2 linked regions of the Bombyx mori genome follow. The protein of the gene in region 1 purifies or fractionates together with the protein of each later gene. This does not show direct contact. Links are inferred from orthologs where the notes say so. Each region holds a gene or a part of one and is shown on either strand. Other genes may lie near its edges. The genes, in order: zinc finger CCHC domain-containing protein 10 and neuralized-like protein 4.

Evidence for each region.
Region 2: the proteins of zinc finger CCHC domain-containing protein 10 (region 1) and neuralized-like protein 4 purify together in Homo sapiens (co-immunoprecipitation; 3 studies listed by BioGRID and IntAct, with this or other methods). This does not show direct contact. The link is inferred for Bombyx mori from reciprocal best matches to the Homo sapiens genes ZCCHC10 and NEURL4.

Annotation. Positions count from the first base shown.
Region 1 is NC_085113.1:10,857,201-10,861,540, forward strand, and holds the start of zinc finger CCHC domain-containing protein 10, read right to left. Parts: upstream 2,880-4,340; 5' UTR 2,481-2,879; coding exon 2,437-2,480; intron 2,361-2,436; coding exon 2,193-2,360; intron 1-2,192.
Region 2 is NC_085107.1:10,103,311-10,107,140, reverse strand, and holds part of neuralized-like protein 4, read right to left. Parts: intron 3,469-3,830; coding exon 3,283-3,468; intron 2,473-3,282; coding exon 1,503-2,472; intron 450-1,502; coding exon 278-449; intron 1-277. UniProt on the Homo sapiens protein: Promotes CCP110 ubiquitination and proteasome-dependent degradation. By counteracting accumulation of CP110, maintains normal centriolar homeostasis and preventing formation of ectopic microtubular organizing centers.

The sequences.
Region 1 (4,340 bases):
CATCTAAAATAATTGCTTTATTTATTTAGAAAACACTACAAAAAATCTGCATGATATGTTAAACATAAGTTCTACTAAAACCAAACAACTTTTCAAAATTTGATTAAGTGAACATATTAGTTCAGATATCAATGATAAACTAACATTTTACCATCGGACAACTTCATATCATATATCTTACACAACCTCTGGATGACAATGTTTCATGATCTGTTAATGGTGTGCTTATTATTGACCTATTATTTAATTACAATGCTTGAACTTATTTACAAGTAGCTTCTGCAAGCACCTTCACCCACATCAAAAGTAACTTTCCCAAGATGAAAATTTACCCAAATCTGGTCAACAGATTATACTTAATTGAGTATAAAACATGCTAATATTTTCTGCATTTATGCATTTATAATGTTCATATCCCTCATATTAAACAAAAACCACTGATTCCAAGCTACATTATGTAGTGTTTTAGTAAGGGTTGTATAAAAACAGACACACACTGAACTGACTTGTTACCAACATTTGTGCTTTTAATTTACACTGGTGGTAGGACCTCTTGGGAGTCCGCGCGGGTAGGTACCACCACCCCGCCTATTTCCGCCGTGAAGCAGTAATGCGTTTCGGTTCGAAGGGTGGGGTAGCCGTTGTAACTATACTGAGACCTTAGAACTTATATCTCAAGATGGTTGTAGATGTCTATGGGATGGTGGGCTGTGAGCTCGTCCATCCATCTAAGCAATAAAAAAATAAATAATAATAATCAACCATAATACATTTTAAACAAAGCCTGAATATATTTAAACCTTAAAAATGTAACAGAAGTTAAAACATTTATGTTAACCACACCACAATAAAGAGGACTAATTTGTTGCAATATCTTTGCACCACATTATATGATGTATTATTTTGACCTGTGCAAGTTTTGAGCATTTGATGCCCTTGAAGATCTAATATATGAAAGTATATTTGATATATATAAGAAAAGCAAGAAGTACCCAGATGAATTCCTGTGACATCAGCATTTGGCCCTGGCTTCTATTAATAGTAATACTGAAAATAGCTATTCTTAAAGAAAACTGTAATACAGGTACAAATAAGCCAGGGGCCTTTCAATTTTATCATATAAAACACAGATAGCCAACCCTTAAACATACCCAATCCTGTAGACTGAATGGTAAACAGTTGACATCGCCCTAAACACGTCATTACAGATCCCTCCCATTCATTAACGGTGCTTTTAGGTACCACAACCACTGTTTACCATCAGTGACCGTGAATTAACCCATAGACACAGCCCACTAAGTTTCTCATCGGATCTTCTCAGTGGGCCGTGTTTCCGATCCAGTGGTAGATTCCACTAAGTATTGCTCTTGCTAGGGCCAGTGTTAGCAACACTCCCGGTTTGAGTCCCGTGAGCTCACCTACAAGTCAACAAGCTGAAATAGCCTCTGAAGGCTATCAGCATAGGTAGGAAAAAAGTACCCTTAAATTTCTTTAGAACAAAGAAGCTTTAACATTAATAATCTGCATCTTTAATCAAAGCACAGCAATGAAATCATGGCTCGATCTAAAAAGTACCATGCCATTTAGCTAGAAAATCAGAATAATAATGATAATTTTACTAAATATATTATATTAAATTTAAATAACATTAACATTGAACTATTAGCCCTTAGAAAAATTACTGGGATTAGTGTGTTTTATAATTAAGGCAGTGTCATTTATTGTTGAAGTCCAGAACTAAAGTTTTCTTAAAACTAACACTCGGGAATAAAATATATCCTATTACATTCAAGATCAAATTCATGTTAAACAAGATGTTATGATGTACAAGTTGATGTCAGCAGTTATTCATAAGACAGACATGTAGGTATTAAAGTTTTGAAAGCATTTGAAATAATTTTTAGAATGAAATAATTATTGACTTCAAAACTACCAATTTGAATAAATTGGGTAGGTATGAAGTCATCATATAACTTTCCCACCATCTACCCTCCACAAAAGTTAAATTATAAATCAGAATCACATTTTTTTATATAAAATGAAAAAGTATCATGGTTACCTAGAGAAACTTCGTAAGCTATTAATAGTTATTTAACAATATAAAGATTACCAGTATAAAAGCATTAGGTAGATCATAACAAAATATGGAGGGTGGTTCTAGAACTTTATTGAAAGACGAAATTGCATTTTACCTGCATTGACCTTCTTCTTTGGCTTTCAGATTCTTATGCATGATTCGTGTACGTGAAGGACGAACTAGGATCTTGCGTTTGCCCTTGCACTCATAGCTCCAGTGTCCAAACTCCAAGCACTTCTGGCATCTTATGCCTTGAGGAAAAGCAGCAGCCAGAGCTGCTTGCCTAAAAAAAAGAATATCAGTCCAGGTTAAATGGTATTTTCATGATAACTAATGTTGGAAGAAAATTTGTTCCTTACTTTTTCCTCTCAGCCTGATGCCTGTTATATGTTCCCAGAGTCATATTCAGAATCTCAAAGGGAAAATTAACAAGATTAGGGGGTAGTTAAATATATGTTTAGAATTGTACTGTTCAAACTGCAACAGGTCTTCTATTAAAATTTATCGCATAAAAAGCGCAAACACAAGTCGAGGATGTGGAAATGCGTCTGTCAAATTTATAAACAAAAATATAGTAGAATATTGTCTATGGAAACCCCTTTGCAAATCCCACATGCACAAATGAAAAAAAATAGTTCATGTAAATGAGTAAATTCTCAATAAAGCTTAAAAATAAATTATGAAAGTCTGAAAAAGGAAATAGGTTTTGGTGGCGGATATCCATTTCACCTCTAATGTGAATTTTAGGAATGTTACGGATTTACACAGCAACCTGAGCTTGAAACCTTGCACAGCAACCTTGAAATTACATTTTCTGACGGAAACGCAGATATCTGCTCTAGATGATATCTGGTAGGTTTAAAATATCACTGCTACTTATTGGAGTACAACTATCGCTTAATATGGGGGCTGTATCCGAATCTACACTTGCTTGCCACCTGCAGATGTGGTGGACCTAGGAGACTGTAACGGTCACTACCAAAAGTGGTTGGGACCCAGGACCATTGACATCCCGGTTCGGGCTGTCTATGATTTCTTCTCGGCCTACGGCCTCTCCCAGCTCGTGACACAGGCCACCCATTTCTCAGATTGTGAGGAATCTCATCCAGGTTACCATACCACGCTTTCACCTTGGTCATCGGAAGATATCTGGGTGTCGAAGAATTTTGCAATAAATGTATGTCAACGGACTGTGATGGAAAGCGTGAATTACGCACATCGTGGTTGGTTGTTTATTACTTCTTCTGAGGTACCTGTTAGAGGTCAGAAATGTCCCTGATCTAATAAAACTAGTAAGGATATTGTACGCTTCAGGCGGGCCGTATACGCGGCCTAGTCCAGTCATTATAGGGGGTTAACCTCAGAAAATTGACATATCCAGTATATTACCACATAAAAAAAAAAATATTTTGGCATCCTACAACTATTTTCAAAATTCACATAAAATGTAAAGACAGCGGTCAATGTAAAAAAAAATTTTTTTTATTTTATTCTGGCGAAAATCTCGTTTTCCATGGGTTTTTTCCACGCTATTTGTATTTATTATTGTGTATATTAGAGAATTAAATTCCCTACAATACTGATAATAATCTAACTTTTCTATTTAACATTTTTTTATACCTTGAACTTGTGGCATTTCAGAACGCACATTTTTATGATGCGTAAGCCGGAACTCACCAGAGGTAAAAGATTAAAGTCTGTGACACGGGACCTTTTTACCGCCAAAAATTTAAAACGTAAAATAATTTATAATGTGTTTAATAACTAATATAATATTATAACTTAGAATTGTTTATGCCGCTACAACAATAAAAATTCTATTGTTTCAACTATGGTGTTAATTACATAAAATACGACTTTACGGCGAAATAAAGAAAGGACCCTATATGGACTCCCTCAAACTGCTTTCAAGATAAAGGGCGTAGAGCGTGCGGTCAGAGAATTATCTTAGGTCAACTGGTAATCTCGATCAAAAACTCGTAATATTAAGGCTATAATTTATTGCTAAATATATAATTATCATTTAACATATCATTATCAATACATGACGTAACACGTCATAAAAAGAAATAAAGTTTTTCTAGGTAGCTATTTGTTGTGAGTGCTCAACAATGCTCCTATGAGCAAAACACAAACCTCATTACAGTCTCTTAGTCATTACACATTACCTATTGAATAAACCAGTTCAACATTCCATACACGTTTGTTGTGTTGTGGTACCTTTTGAAATAGGAAAAAACTCTTTTTCGATGTACATTTTACA
Region 2 (3,830 bases), on another chromosome or scaffold:
AACTGATTTTTTTTAAATACTGAGTAGTAGTGTCATTTAACAAATAAACTAAGGCTCATCAATAGCTATTAGGCAATGAACTGTCTGTTGATAATACAGGACATTGTACCTAACTTTTTTGTTTATTTTTATTTTATTGCTTTTGTAGGCCCCTGTGAGTGTACGGCCCACCTGATGGTGAGTGGTTACCGTGGCCCGTGGACTTCAGCAATGCCAGGGGCAGGGCCAAGCCGCTGCCTACCAAAGTATAATAGAAGCGTGTTAAAAAGATAGTCACATGTCAGAGAACGAAGTCGATGTGCAGGGTACGTCTACTAGAGCACGTGGTCTTCGCACCGAGCCGCTCTCCCCGTGCGCGGCCTGCGCTGAACCCAGAATGTTCCTCGACACGTTCCAGAAGCCACGCTGAGCCGCTCCCACACCGTCTATACGCTCGATGCGAACCCAACCTGAATTGTTAACAAGGTATTATAAAACCTAATAGTACACGCCAAACGTATTCGATAGTTGACATATCTTTAAATTATTACGTGAAGCAAAAACTTTGTATCTCTTTTAACGAAAATTTCGCGGACGGAGGAGTATGAAATTTCCCACGCTTATAGTTTATATAGAGAAGGAGTGCAGAATGCTAATATTTTTTCGAAATTATGCATTAAAAATACACTAAATTAATAAGAAAAACATTGTACACACTACCATGTTTTTGACACACACACGCATATATACTCTTTTGTTTATTGTTTTTTTTATTGCTTAGATGGGTGGACGATCTCACAGCCAACCTGATGTTAAGTGGTTACTGGAGCCCATAGACATCTACAACGTAAATGCCGCCACCCACCTTGTGATATGAGTTCTAAGATCTCAGTATAGTTACAACGGCTGCCCCGCTCTTCAAACCGAAACGCATTACTGCTTCACGGCAGAAATAGGCGGGGTGGTGGTACCTACCCGTGCGGACTCAAAAGACTCAAAAGAGGTCATATCACCGGTAAATTAATGATGATAATTAATTAGTGATGATTTGAGAATTTACCTATTTAATTGTTTCCATGTTCGAGTTAATTTCGGCGTTGTGTGATTCAATCTACACAAACGCATAAACATACAAGGAATGAATTGGTTGTGAATATTTCATACAATATTATGTATAAATATTATAAAAATATTTGCTAAGGCCCGGCGACCACCAACTCAGTGTCCAGTGGGCAAGAGAATGTATATACTTTACGTAAAACTCGTCACCTTGCCCCCGACCGGTTTCGGGTGATTTTATTAGTAGAATTCTACTAATAAACTGTACTTTATTAGTAGAATTCTACTAATACATGTAACTATACTGAGACCTTAGAATTGATATCTCAAGGAGGGTGGCGCATTTACGTCGTAGATGTCTGTGGGCTCCAGTAACCACTTAACACCAGGTGGGCTGGGAGCTCGTCCACCCATCTATCAATAAAAAAAAAATTCAAATTCATGACAATGCAATACATACTAACCAGCAAACGGAGGCAGTAAGTCCGGTTGGCAGTTACTGCAGTAGCACCGTACCTGGCCCCAGGACACCGCCTTTCGAAGTTCAGGGTACGGACAAACCAAAAAGTTCCAATACTTCAAAACAAGATGCAAGTGCTCACAGCCTTCGCCTGACGCTTCCCACTCGGACTCCAAGCTCTGACCTTCGTCCATCTCTTGATCGAAGCACAAGATGCGATTGAGGTAATTCAAGTTCTCAATAGATAGCTGCTCGGACCATAGCTCGTCGCGGCGCGTCGATTCATCTAAAGACGACGATTGCTCTTCGGTTAGATCAGGCAAATTACCAGTTTCCAAAGTGAGAGCGTCCATTATCTCATTATCCAAATTATCGACATCGTTCGCTTCGGGATACCGATCGTTATGGCGAATGTTCGTATCGTAAAACTGTCCGTGCGACAAGCTGTCCGAGTGATCCGCTATCTGTGAGCCTACACTGTACGTATGACGTAACACCTTTAGTTCGATATCGTCTTGTATCAGACTAAAATTATGAGAGGAATGACTCTTGTGAATGAAGCGCGACGATGTAGATGTATCACAGCTGTTTGACGACATCGTATTGTCTGACATTATCAGGCTTTGGTGTAAAGAGAGCTGATTGGGACATTGTCTCTTGCGTCTTATCGCTGGATTCTTCGTCTCGAAGTTACTGAGCGGAATGCATTCTAGAGGCAGGATATCGCGTCGGGAGCTGGGTCCGGGCTGAGCCGCGATAGGTTCCAGCTCGTCCTCGATGAGGTTGTCGTGGCTATAGGCTTTCAGTTTTCGACGGATTCGCATTTCGGTCAAATTGGTTTCGAATAATTCACGAGTTGGTTCTTCATTCATGTCGAGATCCGACATCGATTCTTCTCTTTGATTTTCAGCTATGATGGGTAGGTCGATCGAAGTGCCGCTCACGACCACGTGAGGATGCAACAGTACAGACACCTAGAATTTGAATTCGAGGTTTTAATTAAGCTGAAATGGCGGTTATCCTTGTAGCGTTACCGGTCTTATAAATCAGAACGCATGATTTCTTTGCACCAGAAACGAATAGGACAGTGGTACTAACCTACAAGGGCTCACAATATGCCCTACCATCAGTACTCCATTGCAAAAAAAAACGGGGAAAGCTAAACAAGGTTTACAGGTTAAATCGGTTATAGACAGATTGCAGGGTAGTAGTGGCTTGAAGAATGCTGGGTTCAGTCATACTGATTCATAGCCGGATTATATAGTCCGGACTATATAGTATCTATATAATAGGGCAGGGGTCATCAAATTGCGGACCGCGGTCTTCATCCGGACCGCTGATCGATTTTGTGTGGACCGCGAAAACACAGCAACTCGTACTACTATGCACGGAAATTTCCAGTGAAGAGTTCTAGATAATTTTGTAAAGCAACATTTTCGAAAATGAACTTCATCAAGAATAAATTTCGATCTCGACTTACTGATGAACATCTCTGGGAATTAATTAAAATATCTTGCACTAATTTTTCTCCGAACTTCAGACAGATAGTCCGTTTCAAAAATATTTCATTTTTATCATTTATATGTAAAAAAATACCTTTGTTATTTCCGTACATTTGATTACTAAATATATATATATATTTTTTATAAAATGTACGGCGTTGCGCGATTGTCATTTCATTTCTTAAAACAGACTCCGAACTAAGCTAATTAGTGACCCCTGGTCTAGCTAGGGTCGCACGGCATTAAGATCGATTCGAATCGATAATACAAACTCGTACTCACTTGAGTGACGCGACCGTAAAGATCGATCAGGGGGAAGACGTGACAAGCATTCCTTGAAACAGCGCCGATGACTCCGAGCGGCTCCGAGTCGATGTCCACGGCAATGTCGCTGTTCAGCCTGAAGTGTATAGTGAGCACCGACTGCTCCGTCAAGTTGTCTAAAGGTGCACCTCTCTTTGTCTTTATCTAAAACGATAATGATTCTTTAATACCAACAAGTAATAGTAGACGAATTTTAGCACTTATTTTTTGATCTCGACATCTAAGGGGACTTATACTGTTATAAGTTATGTGGTTGGTACCATAGAGTCATCAGCCACCAGAACAAAAAAAAATATTAATATTAGTATCAGAAGAAGATTAGATTTTGTATTGCCATTCTAGAATTAACATATTCTGACTTTTTCTTTCAGGCAAAGCCGCCATAGTTGTTTGTCTATGGATGGTGGAAGCCACCGATTGAGTAGTTCAAAAAACCTGACTTCGGTAGTACTAAAAATAAGGCAAATACTCCACAATATTACAAAACTTCACACCATTTCTACTAA